2 linked regions of the Rattus norvegicus genome follow. The protein of the gene in region 2 interacts with the protein of the main gene of each other region in a biochemical or structural test. Links are inferred from orthologs where the notes say so. Each region holds a gene or a part of one and is shown on either strand. Other genes may lie near its edges.

What was found.
Region 1: of the proteins of Map3k1 (region 2) and Map2k4, one has a biochemical effect on the other in vitro, tested with the Homo sapiens proteins (7 studies listed by BioGRID and IntAct, with this or other methods). The link is inferred for Rattus norvegicus from reciprocal best matches to the Homo sapiens genes MAP3K1 and MAP2K4.

Annotation. Positions count from the first base shown.
Region 1 is NC_086028.1:50,941,903-50,950,252, forward strand, and holds the start of Map2k4 (dual specificity mitogen-activated protein kinase kinase 4), read right to left. Parts: upstream 5,138-8,350; 5' UTR 5,085-5,137; coding exon 4,976-5,084; intron 1-4,975. UniProt on the Homo sapiens protein: Dual specificity protein kinase which acts as an essential component of the MAP kinase signal transduction pathway. Essential component of the stress-activated protein kinase/c-Jun N-terminal kinase (SAP/JNK) signaling pathway.
Region 2 is NC_086020.1:45,142,676-45,151,071, forward strand, and holds the start of Map3k1 (mitogen-activated protein kinase kinase kinase 1), read right to left. Parts: upstream 5,344-8,396; 5' UTR 5,208-5,343; exon of another isoform or gene 5,097-5,207; 5' UTR 4,597-5,096; coding exon 4,145-4,596; intron 1-4,144. UniProt on the Homo sapiens protein: Component of a protein kinase signal transduction cascade. Activates the ERK and JNK kinase pathways by phosphorylation of MAP2K1 and MAP2K4. May phosphorylate the MAPK8/JNK1 kinase.

The sequences.
Region 1 (8,350 bases), on a different chromosome or scaffold from region 2:
AGCTGCTTGTACAGAAAGTACTTTACAGATGATTCAGTGCTTCTCGTCGATGGGGTTCTAAACTGAGCGTGCTGCTGCACACCTGTAGGCCCAACCCTTAGGAGAACCACAAGTTTAAGTTCAGCATACAGGGCTATCTACATAAATACATAAATAATTCCAGCTACGCTAACCACTTTGAAAAAGCGCTTTTAAAGAGACATTTCTCAATTACTCAAGTTTAAGGCTCTGTTTTTTTTTTCACAGCCTTCTTTTTTAACTTATTACGTATGTACATCTGTGCATTCAGATGTGTACATATATACACCACAAGTCAATATACACTATCTTCTTCAATTGTTGTCCAACTTATTTTTTGAGGAAGCATTTCTCACTGAGCCTGCTGACCAGCAAGCGTAGAAATCCTTTTGTCCTTGACTCCCTAGGGTTAGCACTATAGATGCCCATTACCATGCCCAGCCTTTTGCACTGGTGCTGGGGAACAAAATGAAGGGCCTCACCCTTGTGCAGCAAGCACTTTACACACTGAGTCATCTCCCCAGTCTCCTTAAGTCTTTATAATAAATTCAATTTATCACATTTTAAGAGATCTTTTAAATTCACTACATATTAAATGACTAGCAGCTTAAAACAGGTCAATACCATTTGTAATAACTGTTACATATTTATAGTATTTTATGATGTAAGACATATTCACACACATTAATGTGATTCTTAAAATAGTCTCTATATAAGCTATGTATCTTCTCTTTCAATGGATGAGAAATTAGGGGAAATTAGAAAAATCCAGTCATTTCCCAAGGGTGCGGAGTGTGCATAAGGCACACTCTAAACCTTGGTTTTTCCTAGTCCAAACACAGCATCCTTCCAACTTTGAAGTCTTGTTTCTAAGACACTGACTGCTCTATGCAGAGGTAAAGCCACTAGCACAGAAGAAATCATCTTGCTGTGTTTTCATTGTTGAAGATGCTCAACTCTCAGCTGGACAGCTTTATTCACCAGAGTATCTGTTACTCTCTAGCATGCCCATGGTGACTTTATGGAACATTAGGGCCCATACTTATGCCCAGCTCCCCTGAGATTGAGCACCTGATATACTTCCACTGACTTGGCTAAATTCCTGGGCTTTTACAAGATACCACTACAAAGTCTCTTGAATATTAAGAAGGCAATTATGCATTTTTAAGTTCACTAAAATTTCTTGGGCTGAATTATTACACTATTACACAGTACCATACCATGCAAGAAGCCTCAGTTAAATTAGTCTGTGATGACAAATTATCACGGAAATGGTTTTTCAAACTCTCAATTATTTGGGAAATACTTTTTTCAATTTCTAAGTAAATATTAAGATTTAAGGCCAATTTAATAATAGCTCATTTGAATATTTCTTCCTCAAAAAAGGCATATTTTAATGTCTAATATATTTTTATAATACTATTTACCCAACCTGGCAAGCAGATCTACATTTTGATAGTTTTACTCACCAAATAATCAAAGGAGGAATGGGGGTGGGGATGGGGAGAGGCATATTCAGCTTGTAAATGTTTGTACGTCTGTATATGGGCATGAGGAAGTTCAAAAACAAAGTGAGTCAGAATGAATGAAAGCTCGAACATATGAGTAATAGCAAAATCAGATACTATTCTCTAATAGCTGAGACTCTGTGGGAAGAATGCTTTAACAATGGCCAAATCAGAAGTATAACTGCTCTGTGAAAATGTAACAAAATGAACAAATGATGACTGTTAAGAAGCCAAGGTTGCTACAATTCCCACTCCAGCCACCCATAGCCCACAGCCCATTTACAGCTACAAGAGTACCTCAAACACATCATCATTTGAGAATCTCAGATCCAGAAACCAACAAGGATTTAAAGTTTGAAGTTGAACAAACTCTTCTCTGGAATTCTAAAAATAGGGTCCCTTAGAAGTGAAATATAGTAACATCAGCAGGTTAGAAGAAGTGTCCAACCCACAGACAATAAAAGCTAGAAAAGGAAATGTGTAAGTTGGTCACAGGAGGCTAGAGACACTTGGGATAAAGAGATAGGGACCAGGGGAAATAACAGATGAAAATGTTGATGGCCAACATGCATGGCCTCTTTACTGTATGCCAAGTCTCATGCTTTGTATGCATTATCCTTGTGCCTGTGGAACAGGCATTATTCTTACTTTCCAAGTAAGAAACACAGGTTCAGAGAGGCTAAACACTATACTCACAAAAAGCTTAAGTCCTGGTGAGGTGAATGAGGATGGGATCCACTCTCAGGATTCCAGAGCTCTGGCCATTAAGCATTACAGTATAATGGAAATAATGTTTCCAGTTTTGTATCACAGTTGGGTCACAGATGTCAAGCCATGAAACACCACAAAGCCCTTTGGTCAAGCAAAGTACCTATCCTCCTGGATATGGTTCAAAGACTGCTGAACCATAATCCTATGTCCTTAAACCTGAATCTGCTGGTCAATGAGACCCGACAATGAACAACTCCAAGAAAGGCAGTCTTTTGAGTAGCAAGATTATGAAATGGGAGGCAGCCTGGGAAATACAGGGGGACCTCATCTCAAGAAGAATAAATAAAAATAAAACCAAAGAAAGACACTGGTTAAAAAAAAATGAGTAGTTTGGCTCAAACCTAGAAAAAAATTAATTTGCTGCTTAAGCCCAAGGTTCTTGATTCAGATTGCACTATACAACACCTTAAACATTTCTTTATTCTGAGCCGTCAAAACAGGTTCAAAACACAGGATAGAACTGACATGCTCTAGCCTCAAGTAAAGACATATCAGTAAAGATAAAAACAAAAACAAAACAAGGGCTGGAGAAGTGGCTCGGTGGTTAAGAACACTTGTTGCTTTTGCAAGAGGGCCAGGTTTGATTCCCAGCACCCACTTGGTAGCTCAGAGCCATCTATAAAGCGAGCCCCAGGGGTTTGATGACCTCTTCTGACCTTTCCAGCATCAAGCATTCATGTAATAGTCATACATACATACATACATACATACATACATACATACATACATACATACATGCAAAACATTCTTTCTCCCCCCCACCTCTAAAAAAATCAGCAATAATTCCAAGACAGTTTAGGGCCCTTTTAAGAAGGGTTCCAGATATCAAAAAGCAGAGAAGGAGATTAAAGAACACCAGAATCACTGACTATGTGACTCTGAGTTCCTAGACAGTCTCCCCTCTTCACTGTTCTCACTGCCTAGGCCCCATCTCTGTTCTTTCCAGACAGTCTTTCTCTGTCATCTTATCAAAGAGACGGCCCAGTTATCTTCTATCACAAAACCCAGCTGTTGCTTTCATTTTTCTTAAGCAATTTCTCCTGTTTACCTCCATGTCTTCCCTCCTCCACCCTCACAGGGACATGCCCCACCAGAGATGAGACAGCTGGGTTCACTGTCTCTACACACTCAAAACGGAGCTCTATGCTGGCTCTAAGCAGTTGCTCAGTATTTTCTGAACAAGAAAAAAAATGTATACAGGTTTTTCGAACTGTCAGCCTCTTCTCTCCAAACACACACACACACACACACACACACACACACACACACACAAACACACACTCAATCTTGAAATGTATACATTGTTTTACTGAGTTATTTATTGTGTATTCAAGTGTAGAAGTCAGAGGACAACTTGAGGAAATCAGTTCTCTTTGCCATGTAAGTCCCAAGGATTGAACTCAAATCAGGCTCTGTCACTACCCTTAAAATATTTAAACTTTAAATCACACCCATTGTGGGCAGGGCAAAAGAGAGGATAAACTCAAATTATCTTAACAAATAATAAAGGTATGATATCAAGAAAATCCATCTTGTATTCTGTGCAATGTGCTATGGAGCACAGCAGGCATCCACTAACGACATTTGAATTAATTAGCTTAGGACCTGCACAGAATATATCTTCTGACTGAAGTGCACGATCTGGTTATATATTATCCCACAAATTTTTCTTATGGGAAGGGATATAAATACAAATCGTATTTCTGCTGCCCAAATCATGGTATGCTGTCATTAAACACGAAATATTCAACATATAATCTGTTGAACTTCACTAGACACAAGGAGCCCTTTATGAAGAGTTTAACCAAAAAGAAAACATGGTCATACTGATACCAAGGATATCCAAACGACTCTAATAATGCAGCATAAGTCGTTTGCTAAAGTTGTCAAGAGATTTCTGGGCTTGCCTGTGTCAATAGCCCCAGTAAACTTAAGAAATGGACTCGGGCCTGTTATTTTCACAACACCCCCTGTCAAAACCCACACAGAGCTCCTAAGGCCTCTCCGGGAGAAAAGGCCATTACAGGAAAGCTGCCTCAGATGCCCAGACATGATCACTTTGACCTCTGCCATTCGGTTTCCTGAATCTCTCTCCCTTTCAGCCGAACTCCGTCTATTTTTATCTGATTTTCTTTTCTGTATGAGAGGATAACACACATCTCGGGCCTCGGTCGAAACGCCTCTCCCGGGCCAATGGCTGTCTATCCACCTTACAGGTGGCACAGAGCCTCGCAAACCCCCGCCCCTCCCACGCAGACACCCTGCAAAGTTTTGGGGACCGGGGGACAGCGCGGTGGCCCTATTCCAGCGGCGCACCGTGAGGCGCAAGATGGCCCTGAGCCGGCCCCACTGCGGCGCGCGGGGGCGGCGGGGCCGAGGGCCGGGACGCGGCCGACCTGCAAGTCAGAGGCCCCGCCGCGAGCGTTCCGGGAGTCCGCGGGCGCCAGGTGAGCTGCGGGCGGGGGCGGCCAGGTGGGCCTGAGCCCGCGGGGCCAGAGCCGCCACAGCGCTCACCGAAACCCGGCCGGGGATGAGGAGCCCGGGGCGAGGCCGGGCCCGGGACGCGGAGCTCGGGCGGCTTCCTCAGACAGCCCCGGGGACGCAGCGGCTCACAGGCCGCGGCTCGGCCAAGCGCCTCGCGAGGGGCCCCAGAGTCTCGGCGCGCCCGCTGTCCTTACCCTGCATGCTGCTGACCGCCGGGTGGCCAGAAGCTGGAGGCCCGATGGGCCCCGGGGTGCCGCCACCGCCCCCGGAGCCGCCGCCGCCGCTCGGGCTCGGAGCCGCCATTGTTGGAAATGAGGAGCCGAGCGGCGCCGCGGCGGCTGCAATGCAGCAAGCTCGGCCTCTCGCCCCGCTGAGGGCGCGGCGTGCGCCGCCTTGGCCACGCCCCGGACACGCCTCCGTCACGCCCCCGTGCACACCCCCACCAGCGCTGACGCGCAGCCTGCAATACAGGTTGAGCTGCAACACCCAGAACTAAGGGCTGGGCCTGCAGTCTTGAATCAGGGTGGCCCTCTACCTACCCCCCAGGGACCCACAGTGGCTTGCAGAATCAAAAATATATGTGCATTGAGGGGAGGGAAAGACTTATGGCCCCAAAGCTTTAGAACTCCCTTCTCCGAACCTCAGAACCCAAAATCAGAACAGTAGCGCTCTAAGAGATCTCAGAAGTCATGCTTCCTGTCCAGTCTCTGATCCACCATTACAGAAGAAGCAGCAATAGCTGTGGTCTCAGCCCAATGCTCTCTGTCCTGCTGGAGGCTGACAGGAGTACTTCGCGGAAAATAAGTATCACAATCCAAAAGGAAAAGTTCCGGTGTCGGTTACCAGCCCAGAATGCACACTAAATATTTTGTTAATTTATTCTGTGTGGGAAGAGAACAGCAAACAACAAAAGGAGAGGCTGTGGTGGCCTTCAAACATATCTCTTTTTCAAGCACAGGTCAGAAGGTGGCTTTCTTTGAAGAAGGTTATACTTTAGGTCCAGGAGAAGAATCAAAAATCATAAAGCAGACCAAGGCGACACATGCCTTTAATCCCAGTACTTAGGAGGCATATCTCTTTGAGGTTTTTTGGTCAAGCTGGTTTATGGACAAGTTCCAGAATCTTCTCTACAGCTTTTTTTAGGGATGAAAAAAATCAAATAAAATACTTCTTCCAAACAAATTGCCATATTAGAAAACATGGATGTACACAAAAGAAAAAAACAATACAATATAGTTGTATATTTCTTTTGGCTTGGACACTTTAACATGCAGGCTCCATAATTTGCTAGCAATGTATCAGGTCCTGTCATTACTCTAGACCCAGTGTATCATGACATTTGACTTGCCGGGAAAGTATCCCAGCCCGCTCTAGCATCACTATGGTTTGTGAGTGTCATTTCCACAGTTTCTTGGGGGCTGGAGCAATGTAAAGAAATATTTTAGAGGAATTTGAATTTCCCTGTTTCCGTAGCACCATGAGCTTCCCACTTCCTGTCTTTGGTGTGAATAATAAATATAATAATAAATATGTTTCCAGTCCTATGGAAAGTGCTTTTGTAAATCCCTTCCCCTTCCAACAAGTTTATAGTTCTTTAATAACATATATATCATATTATAAGTATATGCACTATATACATTATATACTATATAATATAAAATATAAATTCTAAAATATGTGTTATGTTAGCTATATGTAATATATTACAAAATATATAAGATATTTATTATACAATATGGTATATGATAGTACAATATATTATTATGTTACATTATATATTTTATTTTGTTATATATTATTTATATGTGTGTGTGTGTGTGTGTGTGTGTGTGTGTGTGTGTGTGTGTACCAATCTCTTAAAGACATTACCAGAGTCTGGATGGATGCTAAAAGATATTATTGTTTCCAATATTGCCCTAGAGGGTATATAGGTCATACAAAAGGACTTTAATCAGGTTAAGCAAATACTGAGCCACTATAGTTAAATGAACATGAATGAGAAAAACAAGTAACAAAGAAACCTAAAGAAAACATTCAACCCAGCAAGTTCTTGAGGGTAAGAGAAATGAAGGGGTGTGAACCCAGCCAAGCTATTTGTGTAATGTTGGGCTTGTGATAAATCTGGCCTGGATTTGCATCACTGTTGGTACTGTAAACTGACAGATAAGGACTGAGAACAAGGACTTCTGATTAAATCTACACGTGGGCAGAAACAAGACAGGACTTTGACTTCTTAAAGCTCTTGAAGCTGTGTGCATGCCTTTTACTTGTTCTCATGTTCCTACTTTTCTTGTAAGCTTCTGTGTTGTGTTCATGCTAGACTGAGTTGAATTCCTAAGAATTCATTTGTTGAAGTCCTAAGCCCTGGTGCTGTGACAGGGACTGTGTTTGAAGATGATACGGTCCATGAGGAGATTGGTAAGACTGAAGAGGTAGTGAAGGCTGGTGTTCTTATCATGAGATGGTGGGAGGACACACAGGGGAAGGATCCACACGAGGAAACTAGAAGATGGGGATCAACAAGCCAAGAAGAGAAACCACATTGTGCCACATCTTGATCTCACAGTTATGAGCAAACAAATTCCTGTTGCTTAAGCTAGCTGCCTGTGGTACTTTGTTATGGCAGCCATAGAAAACTAACATTGTATATGGCTTTTAACAATAAATGTCTCAAAGGAAGCTTAGAATTTGGAGTAATAATAGTAGTGGCTATCATAATTTGGGGAGAGGGGGGAGGACAATTAGGCAATGTGTATTAAACCCCAGAAAAATCCTGTTTATAAACCAATGTACGGAATTTCTGCATGGGCCTGGAAGTCCAGACTGCTGTGCAACCAGAGAATTGGAATGGCATTAAGTCTACTGCTTTGAGTAATGCATGGTGAGAGCAAGGTGCCTTAAGAGAAGCTACAGAGAAAGAGTCATGTTTGCCTAGCACCTGATTCAGGAAACTTGGTTGCAAAATCTAGTTTGCTGCTTCTTTTTGGTTCATCTCTCAACGTCAATGGTTAGATTAAGAGGAGAGTTTTAGGGGCTGGAGATACAACTTAGCAGTGAAAAACATTTGTTTTTCTCACAGAAAACCTGGGTTTGATTCCCAGTGCCATCATGGTCCCTCATAACCATCTGTAATGGAATCTGACACCCTCTTCTGACCTCGGCTTGCCCCAAGCATGCACATGCTACACACACATATGTGCAAGCAAAACACTCATACACAGAAAATAAAATAAGTCTTAAACATCTTGATTAAAAAAGGACACATTTTCACTTTATATTCCAAATAAAACAAGAGTAATTTCGGATGGATTTCACCTTAGGACCCCATTTCGACATCTGGAAAAGTAATAAGAGGTTTAGAAACATCCCCGGGGGATGGCTAACAGAGTCAACAGACATTTCCTGTAAGTGTCCCACAAACTACTTTCTGAAAAACCCATCTCCTTTCTTCCCAAAGTCATCAAGAGCTTATGACCAGGCCATTGCATTGTCCATGTGGCCTCTTCAGGCACAATGAACTGTGTGGTTTCTGGGTACCATTTGAGCAGCTTGTCAACTGGAAACATAGT
Region 2 (8,396 bases):
TAAATAGTACTTACTTGTAAAATACTTGTGCCCACGCAAGGCTGTTAGAGAATGTGTCATATCTGTACAAGCAGGGCAGAGTCCAAGCCCGTCCTCTCACGACTCCTACAGAGCAACTTCCTTTTTAAAGTTCATCAATTAATTTAATAATTAACTTGAAAACAAAAATAGAAACAGCAAAAAAAAAAAAAAAAACTAATGAGAGGAGCTGGCAACAGCGGCAGGCTGACTTGGGTCGAATCCTACCTTTTGTCTGTAGCTGAGTGATCATAGGGTTTTTCTATGTCCAATTAATTTCTTACCTCCCCAAAGAGAAGTTACCATGCCCGAGAGGGCTGGAGATTAAACAAGGTGATCTATGTAATCTGTCGGCCGCACAGAGGGCAGGGAAGCTGATTGTATTAAAAGCGTACACATCTATCTACAAACCCACCAGGTGGTTTTTTTTTTAAGCCACAGGTAAAATCCTTACGTTTAGTGATCTAAAGGGTACCTACCACACTAACATCCCCGCTTCCGGTGAGTCATTTACTTCAGTTCTGGTCCTGACGTCTTTCTTGATTAAAAATATCCTCAAGTAATTTCTTGAAGACGCTGTCGTGTTTTTAACATTGCATATGTTAGCAATCAAACCCAAGGCCCTGCTCGTGCTACCTCCTGGCTTCACAGGTTCCCTCTAGACTCTTCAGCAACTGTGACTTTTAACTAAAGATACAGAAAGGCCAGGACTAAGGAAGATGGCCAGTCGACAGGATGTACATGGCACATGTGATGCAGACAAATCATCTTATGTTGAAAAACGCAGACATGGGGTCAGCAGTGTCCGCCATGGACTAAGACCTTCCTTCCCATGCCACTCTTTCCTGTAATACAGATTTCCCCTCGGCTCAGGGATGCACGTGGAGTGCAGAATGCAAAGGCAATACAAACAGCGTCTTGACCAGCCCCTCATGTTTCCTCAGAATAACCCATTCTCCCCGACTACTGCACACAGCACTTCTTCCTTTGGGATTGGCCAACAGGGTCAAGGACAGGGTGGCGTCCTAGGCAAACTGGCTGGTTTTTTGTTTGTTTTCTGCTCTTGTTGAAAGCTACAGAATATCCCTTTCTCTGAGCATCTTGAAATCGTCAGGCCCACATGTCAGTGACCATTTCTACAAAGTGCAACACATCACACTTAAAGTGCTACAGAAGTATCAATCAACCTGTCTCCTTCCTGTTTGCCTATCTAACAAAATGGAGTCATTATAGTGTATTGGAAATTATATATTAAGGAATGTTGGTTAACCAGTCACTCTTGCCAAGATCAGATATGAAGAGAAAACAAAAGCTGGCAACCACTCTAGCTCTGATATTTCTTTTCCAGAATCCTATTTAATAAGGTTAATCTTTTAAAAATACAGTAATTTCCCTCACCTAGTTTAAAACAAAACCTGGAGAGAAAGCCTAAGTACCAGAGCATGGGAACTCACTCAGGGCTAACTTCTGGGTCTACAGCTATGATTTTAGGGGATCACCTGCTCAGAGCAGATACCTTATTTAGGTTCATTATTAATGTTTTTATACCTCCCCTCCTGCAAAGGATCAGTGATTTGTATTTTTAGCCTAACAGCTTCTAAAAGGAAGTGAAACTGAGGCCTATGAGGAAGCAAGGGCGACTTATGAAATATCGCTACTTCTAAACAAAGCTAACATTAACTAGCACAGCATATCTTGCTCTTTCATGGGGCAGCAAATTGATAGTTTGGTTGAACCTACAAAAATAGGATAGAGTAATTATATCTGCCAAACTCACAATAGCCTGTTCAATGAAGAGCAACACTGTAATTTTTCTTCAAAGACGGTAAATAGGAAGGAAAAGCCCCTTATTCCCTAGTACAAGGGAAAATTCCAAACCCTTGGGCGCCACTTACAGGCACAGACTTTCACTGACTTATTTCACTGAAGGAGAGGGGGCAGACATACAATCTTTGACTTTAATGAATTTCCCATAATTTATCTTTCACGAATGTGTATTTTCTAAACTTTCAGTTTCTACATTCAAAGTTTAGAAACTGGATTAAAAACAAAAAAAAACAAACAAACAAACAAAAACCCCAAAACTACAATAGGTCTTCAGACACACAGAGGGGGTCTTTGGCTCTCTACTACTACAGAAAACAAACACAAAATATCAGTATTAAATCGTCCTCATCAAAGTATGCGTGTGAACTCCTTGAAAGAGGGGAACATAACATTCAATTGAGATTTTATATGATTGCCTTATAATCATTTCCCCAAGATCTTAAATGATAAAATAATAAGGCATCGTAACAGGCAACCCAAAACACATGACAATATCTTTGTATAACCTCTTCTTCATGTTGTAAGTTCTATACCAGCAGATTTGAAATGAATTTCAAACCAGTGCTACAAAAACTGGAGGGGCTGTTGGTATTATTTCAAAAAGATAGATACCCTATATTTTACCGCAAATGAAATTATCACATGTAACATTTGAGATGCACCAACAGAATTCCAGCTAACAGTATTTATTTTAATAACAACCTTTACAATTATAAACCCTCCTTAAGGAGAGGAAAGAGAATGCGAAAATTAAGCACAGATTACTCAGGTATTCAATCCCTCCTGCCCTCACCTTCATCCTCCAATTTCGAGTCTACAGGGAACACTAAAGTTCTATATATCACTTTTGCAGTTGTTGCTCTCATGCTATATTCATAGGCCATAACATTGACTTTGTAAATGCTGAAGTGCGGCCAGCTGTATTACCATATAGGAAAAAAAAATCAGGTCTCACAAAACTAGAGAAAATTAATTCCTCCAAGTTTAAGTTAGTGTTTTTTGCTTCCGTCTGCAGTTGATCTGTAGTAAGAGTTGCCACCTAGGAATTATTCTGGTAATGTTTTAATCTAATCTGCACAAAAACAGGAAACCCTAGAGGAAGATACGTGTACAAGTGCACACAGAAAGCTGCAGTAGGGCTGGCTGCTGCCTACCTTCCTCCCCATTCTGCCAGAGCCCAGGAGTCAGCACACTTTTTACTACGGGGGGGTGGGGGGAGGAAAAACGACCTCCAAGTAATAAACGGACCGTGATTTTAAACAAGCCAGAGCACCAAAGGGGGTCAAATTACTTTAGATAACTAACCGAAACCAAGGATTCCTACTGTCAGATTCGACACACAATAAAACACTCTCCACCCATAGTAAACGTCAAGAAATTCTACGGGGCCACCGGGTGACTATCACGAAAACATATCCAGCAACTTCACACACCCAACAAGATTTTATGCTTTTGTGTATTTTCATCAGAATTTTTAAAAGTATCATATACTTAAAAAGAATTTCCTCTAACAGAAAATTTTCCAGTAGCCAAAAAAGGGCGAGGCCAAAGAGCCGTTGGTGTAAACTATCTTACGCACATCCTACTTCTGGTGCACCGGAAGACCCCTGCGAGCGAAGCCGCAGCCCCGCACCGTCCCTGTCCCCGCCACGCAGCGGGGCTGCGGGGCGCAGTCCCCACAGCTTTGAAGCTGAATGGCTGACACATCCGGTCCTGGATCCTACAGCATTCCGCCAAACGCTAACTTCAAAGGCGGATTCAAACTCCCAGCGCTCTAGCCTCCGAGGTGCGGTAGGAATTCCCAGGGACACGCAGTGAGGGAAGCCACGGAGTCCCCGCAGACCCGGCGGTCCAGCGAGCCCGCAGCGTCTGCCCGCGTCGCTTTGACAGGCGTTCCCCGCAGTCCCCGGAATCCCCCGGCCGCCTGGGGAGCGTCGCATAAGCCCGGCCCGGTACCTGCGGGCGGGCACGCGTCCCCGTGGGGCCCAGGGGCTCTATCCTGTCACAGGGCGCAGACCCACCGCCGTCACCTCCGCCCTCCGGGCTCCCCACTCACAGCGCGCCGTGGGGGCTCTCAGGACCCGGCCCCGGGAGCCCCGCACGTCCGCGGTTTGCACGCCTGTCACATGTCCGCAAACAATAACAAACTCTCCCGCACGCTCCCGTCCTGTCCCCACGCCGTCCCGGGCGCCGCCCGACCTTCAGGGCTCGGGGGCGCGGGGCCCCACGAGCGGAGCCCCGGGAGCCGCGCTCCGTCCTCGCTTCATTCATTGCCCGCCCGGCCCGGCCCGCCGCTCACCCGGAGGGGGCCGCTGCAGAGGGCGGCTCGGCCCCCGCGGGGCTCCGGGCGCCGCTGTCCCGCGCGGCCGCCAGCTCGGCAGAGTGGGAGCCGCAGCGACTCGCTGCTCCCGGGGGTGGCGGTCCCGCCGCAGGCTGGAAGCCACTCGCTCCTGCAGCCGCGTCCGCGGGCTCCGGCGACGGGGAAGTAGATGGGCAGGGCGGCGAGGCGGTGAGGAAGAGCGGCTGCTCCGGCAGCTGGTCCAGCTCCACACTCCTCACTTTGCGCAGCTGCTGCCGCCGCCAGTCCGCGCGCTCGCGGCCCGCGCTGCCAGTCTCCCGCAGCAGCCCCGCGCCCGCTGCGGGCGCGCCGCTTCCCTGGAGAGCTCCGCCGCCGCCGCCCGCCTCGGGGCTCGCCGCCGCGGCGCCCGGGAATCCCGACGACGAGGCGCGATCGCCCGCCGCCGCCGCCATTTTCTCTCGCGGGCTACATTCGCTCGTGCCTGCGGGGGAGGGAGGGGGCGGGGAGAGCGCGGGGGGCGGGCGGAGCGGCGGGCGCGCGCGCTGCGCCGAGTGCGCGGGCGCGAGCGGGAGCGGGGCCGCGTCTCCTGTCTCGGGAGCACGGAGCGGCGGGCGCGCGGCGCAGGTGGGAGGGCAGGGGCTCTGCTGGGGCCGCGCGGGGCGCTGTGCGCTGCACCCGGGCAGCTGCCAGGTAGTACGGGGCGGGGCAGCGGCTCGGCCGGAGCTCGTCCACCCTTGAGCAAGCAGTAATTGGGGCGTGAGTCCCTGGTGCTGGAAGGGGACGCAAGCCGGAGGACTCACGGTCGGTCACTTCACGCTCTCAGTAGCGGGCGCTGGGGGCCCGGCGCGCACCAGCCTGGCCCGCGCCCGAAGCGCAGGTGGCGCCCGGGACTGTCGCCTGCTGCAGACAGACGCGAAGCCTTCTCTTTGGAAAGCAGACCTCTTGTCCCGCCCTGGTGTCACAAATAACACTACTTAAGATTTCCTGTGCTACCTTGTGCACATCTGAGGCCGCTGGTTTGGGACACCCTCCCTCCTCCCACCGGCTATGCAAAAGGACCAACCCGGGTGCTCTGCCAGAGGTTACTCCCCCGTCTTGGAAAGGCAGCCTCCGACCGAAAGCGGGAGAGCACGTCTAGGGAAAGAGCCAGCGCTCTGCCAGGAAGCGCTGGATCTTGCCATCTTCTACCAGGTCTCCCCACCCCCCTCAGATGCTCCCAGCTGCACGTCCCTCTTCCTGGCAGTCAGGTGACAGGCCGGGTTCCTGGGTCCCCCCTTCCCCCACCGCCGCCGCTCCCAGGTTGTCCTATGTAGCGTCCCTCGCCTCTCTCCTGCCTGGGAGTCTTTTTAGAAAAGGTGCTGGGGATAGAGAAGCTGTAAATATATGGGAATTCCCACCCCACCCCTTTTCAACGGGATGGAGCTGCCATGTCGCCCGTATCTCCCCCTCCTCTGCTACTTCTTTTCCTCCGCCTATTTGTCTAGACTAGGCAATCTTTCAGAACCCCGGACCTCTAGATTTAATTTTTGAAACATTAAGACATGAGGCGTGGGGGAGGGGTAAGAAGGGTTTTCGTCTTACAGTAAAAGGAGAGATCTCGCCTGCATTTAAACAAAAGCCTGAACTATCTCAAAATAATTCATTTAACGTCTCCAAAGTAGATCTAATGAAGCCCTCCTTAGGTGTGTAATGTCAGCTGGAGAGCAAGAAAGGGGTTTTTATTTTTTTTTAAAGGATCCTGACTTCAATGTAAGCTCCGTGTTATGCTGAGTGCTACAACATCTGGCAGGCTATAGTTTTTGATGGTTACATTAAAAGGTACACATTTTGAAAGTTTAGATTAGTCTGTTCAAGATTTGGGTCTCCATTTAGGCTATAATTATATGCTCTTTTAATAGTAGACAAGCGTAACATCCAAACCAAACAGTAGTTATTTCCTAGGTCTTCCTAGATTGCCACACCCACCAAATTCTAAATCGAAAAGGATTAGCTTTTCTGGTTTCTACTGAGATCTAAAATAAACTTTAAATTGGCACACTCATAGTTAGGTACCTGTAAGTGAGAAAAGCCACTGCAGACCCTTCTTAGCCTTTGTCTCTATCTTTGGACCAGCTTTGGAAGTTTGGCCTGAATAATAAAGTTTTTTTTTTTTTAAAGGAAATTCCAGCAAAAAGTGACTTTTGCCTCTTTATTTGTATGGTGTTTGTTTGAAAATGAGGGTGGGCATCAAATGAAGCACAGCTGACTAACTGCCGTGCTCTGGCCTCCACATACCGCATCAGTCTATGAAGACTATTAAGACCTTTTGAATCGCATTTCCTTTTGTCTTTTATGGACATAATTCTGCTGTCATTATGCTCCTATACACAGACACACAGTTTTCTTTCAGAGATAAATAATCAAAGGGCCCAATCGACTAAGGAAGTCAGCTCCCTGCTATATACATCCATATAAAGTCTCCTTTGAAAGCAGTTAACTGGATAGGTCCTACCCAACTTTGTGAGTCGTAGGTATGGTTAAGTGGGCCCCTCCCCATCGACACACACCCACCCCACCCCACCCCACCTCCACCTGGATCCTGGAGCTCTTTGGGTCCTCTGTTGTATTTCTGCAGAAGCACATGCCAAATGGCAGGCTGCTGTAGGCTCCGCCTGCCTTAAAGTGATTCCATTTCCCCTCTTTTCTCCGCAGGTATGGTTCTCATTCCTGCTTGGACTTAAACTTAGCAGTGATTTCCCGTACACTGTAGCAGTTTCAGTAACTTTTACCAGAGCTTTCCAGGTCACCGCTCCCACAGAGTGCTGCCAGGAACGGCCTGGGTCACACTTGAGCTGCTCCACCAAGTTCATTTGGAGGCTAAACACAGGGCATTTCCTCATCGAGCATGAATATCACGATGTTAAGATGAAAAGGCGTATGTACTGGCAGGGTATTCCCGCTCGCATGTCGTTCCGCTCGTATTTACTGAGCGCCTCCTTTGCACACACCAGGTATTCTATTCCCCTCAGATTGTTGTTTTAATAATTGTTATTAATTATTGATATGAATATATAACCAATGTCCTTAACAGTCGTCCTAATCTCATCGACTGTTTTAACGGAATAGAGCGTTTTCACCCTACACATATTTTTATCAGTGGGTATTTGTCAGGCTGGTTGACAGATTTTCAGACCATGGTTGTGTGAAGGTGCTCATGCGAGATCTATGTCTGAGGAAGATAGTTACAAGTAGGAATGAGTGGCTAGAGAGGTGACTCAAGTAAGAGCCTTTGCTGCTTTTCCAGAACATCTGAGCATGGGTTTCTAGCACCCAGCTCACAATCACTTCAGACTCCAGCTCCAGGAAAGCTGACACCCTCTCTGGCTCTCTTGGGCACCTGCGCACACAGCCGTTACATGTGCACACACATAAGTAAAGATAAGACTTAAAAAAGAATATAACCTTGAGGGTAAAACAAAAGCTGGAATTTTTGGCATGCTTATAAATACTTATTTTGGACACTTGCTAGAGAAGTGAAGCTAGGTCTTGCTTTCTTCATGCCCCCCCCCCCCCCCCGGTATCACCAGGTGATTCCAGATGTTTTAAGTCATCTATGGGCACTGTAGGTGACATTAAAGTAGCAAATTTCCTATGTAGTGTCACATGGCCAGCTCATCCAGTTGCACATACTAGCTGATACTGGTGTGCCGGTGTACCATGCAACCTGCTAAGGAAACCCACAGCACAGCAGACACTCACAGCCCGTGCTAGCGTGTCCTTGTATACTGTTCACCCTGGGGGAGTCACAGGGCCCTCGAGAACCCAGTGACGTTGTCAAGCCCAACCACTCTTGTGAAATTTAATAAGACGTCATTCAATTGGTTATTAGATCAATACAATGTGAGTATGAGTGAAAATTGGAAATTGTTCCAACGAAAACTGAACTAAGTGCTTCGAAGAACGAATGGGGTCAGGACATGGAAACCATTCTCTGTCAGAAAGTCATGCTTATGGCCATTATAAGGAAGGTGAGGAAGAGGGTATCCCTCTTTAGACAATTAGACAAATGTACTTTTCAAGTATCCATGGTTGCTAGCTTTAGTGACCGTGCCACTTGCAGACAGGGTGAATTGTGAGGACACATGGAGGTATTAACAGAGGCCCTCTACCCTAAAAAGCAAGGCCCTGTCACCAAATCCCAACCCCACGCCTGCAAACGGAACACAGCAAAGCCTGCTGTTTACACGAGAGTGAAGTGGCTAAGATACGTGTA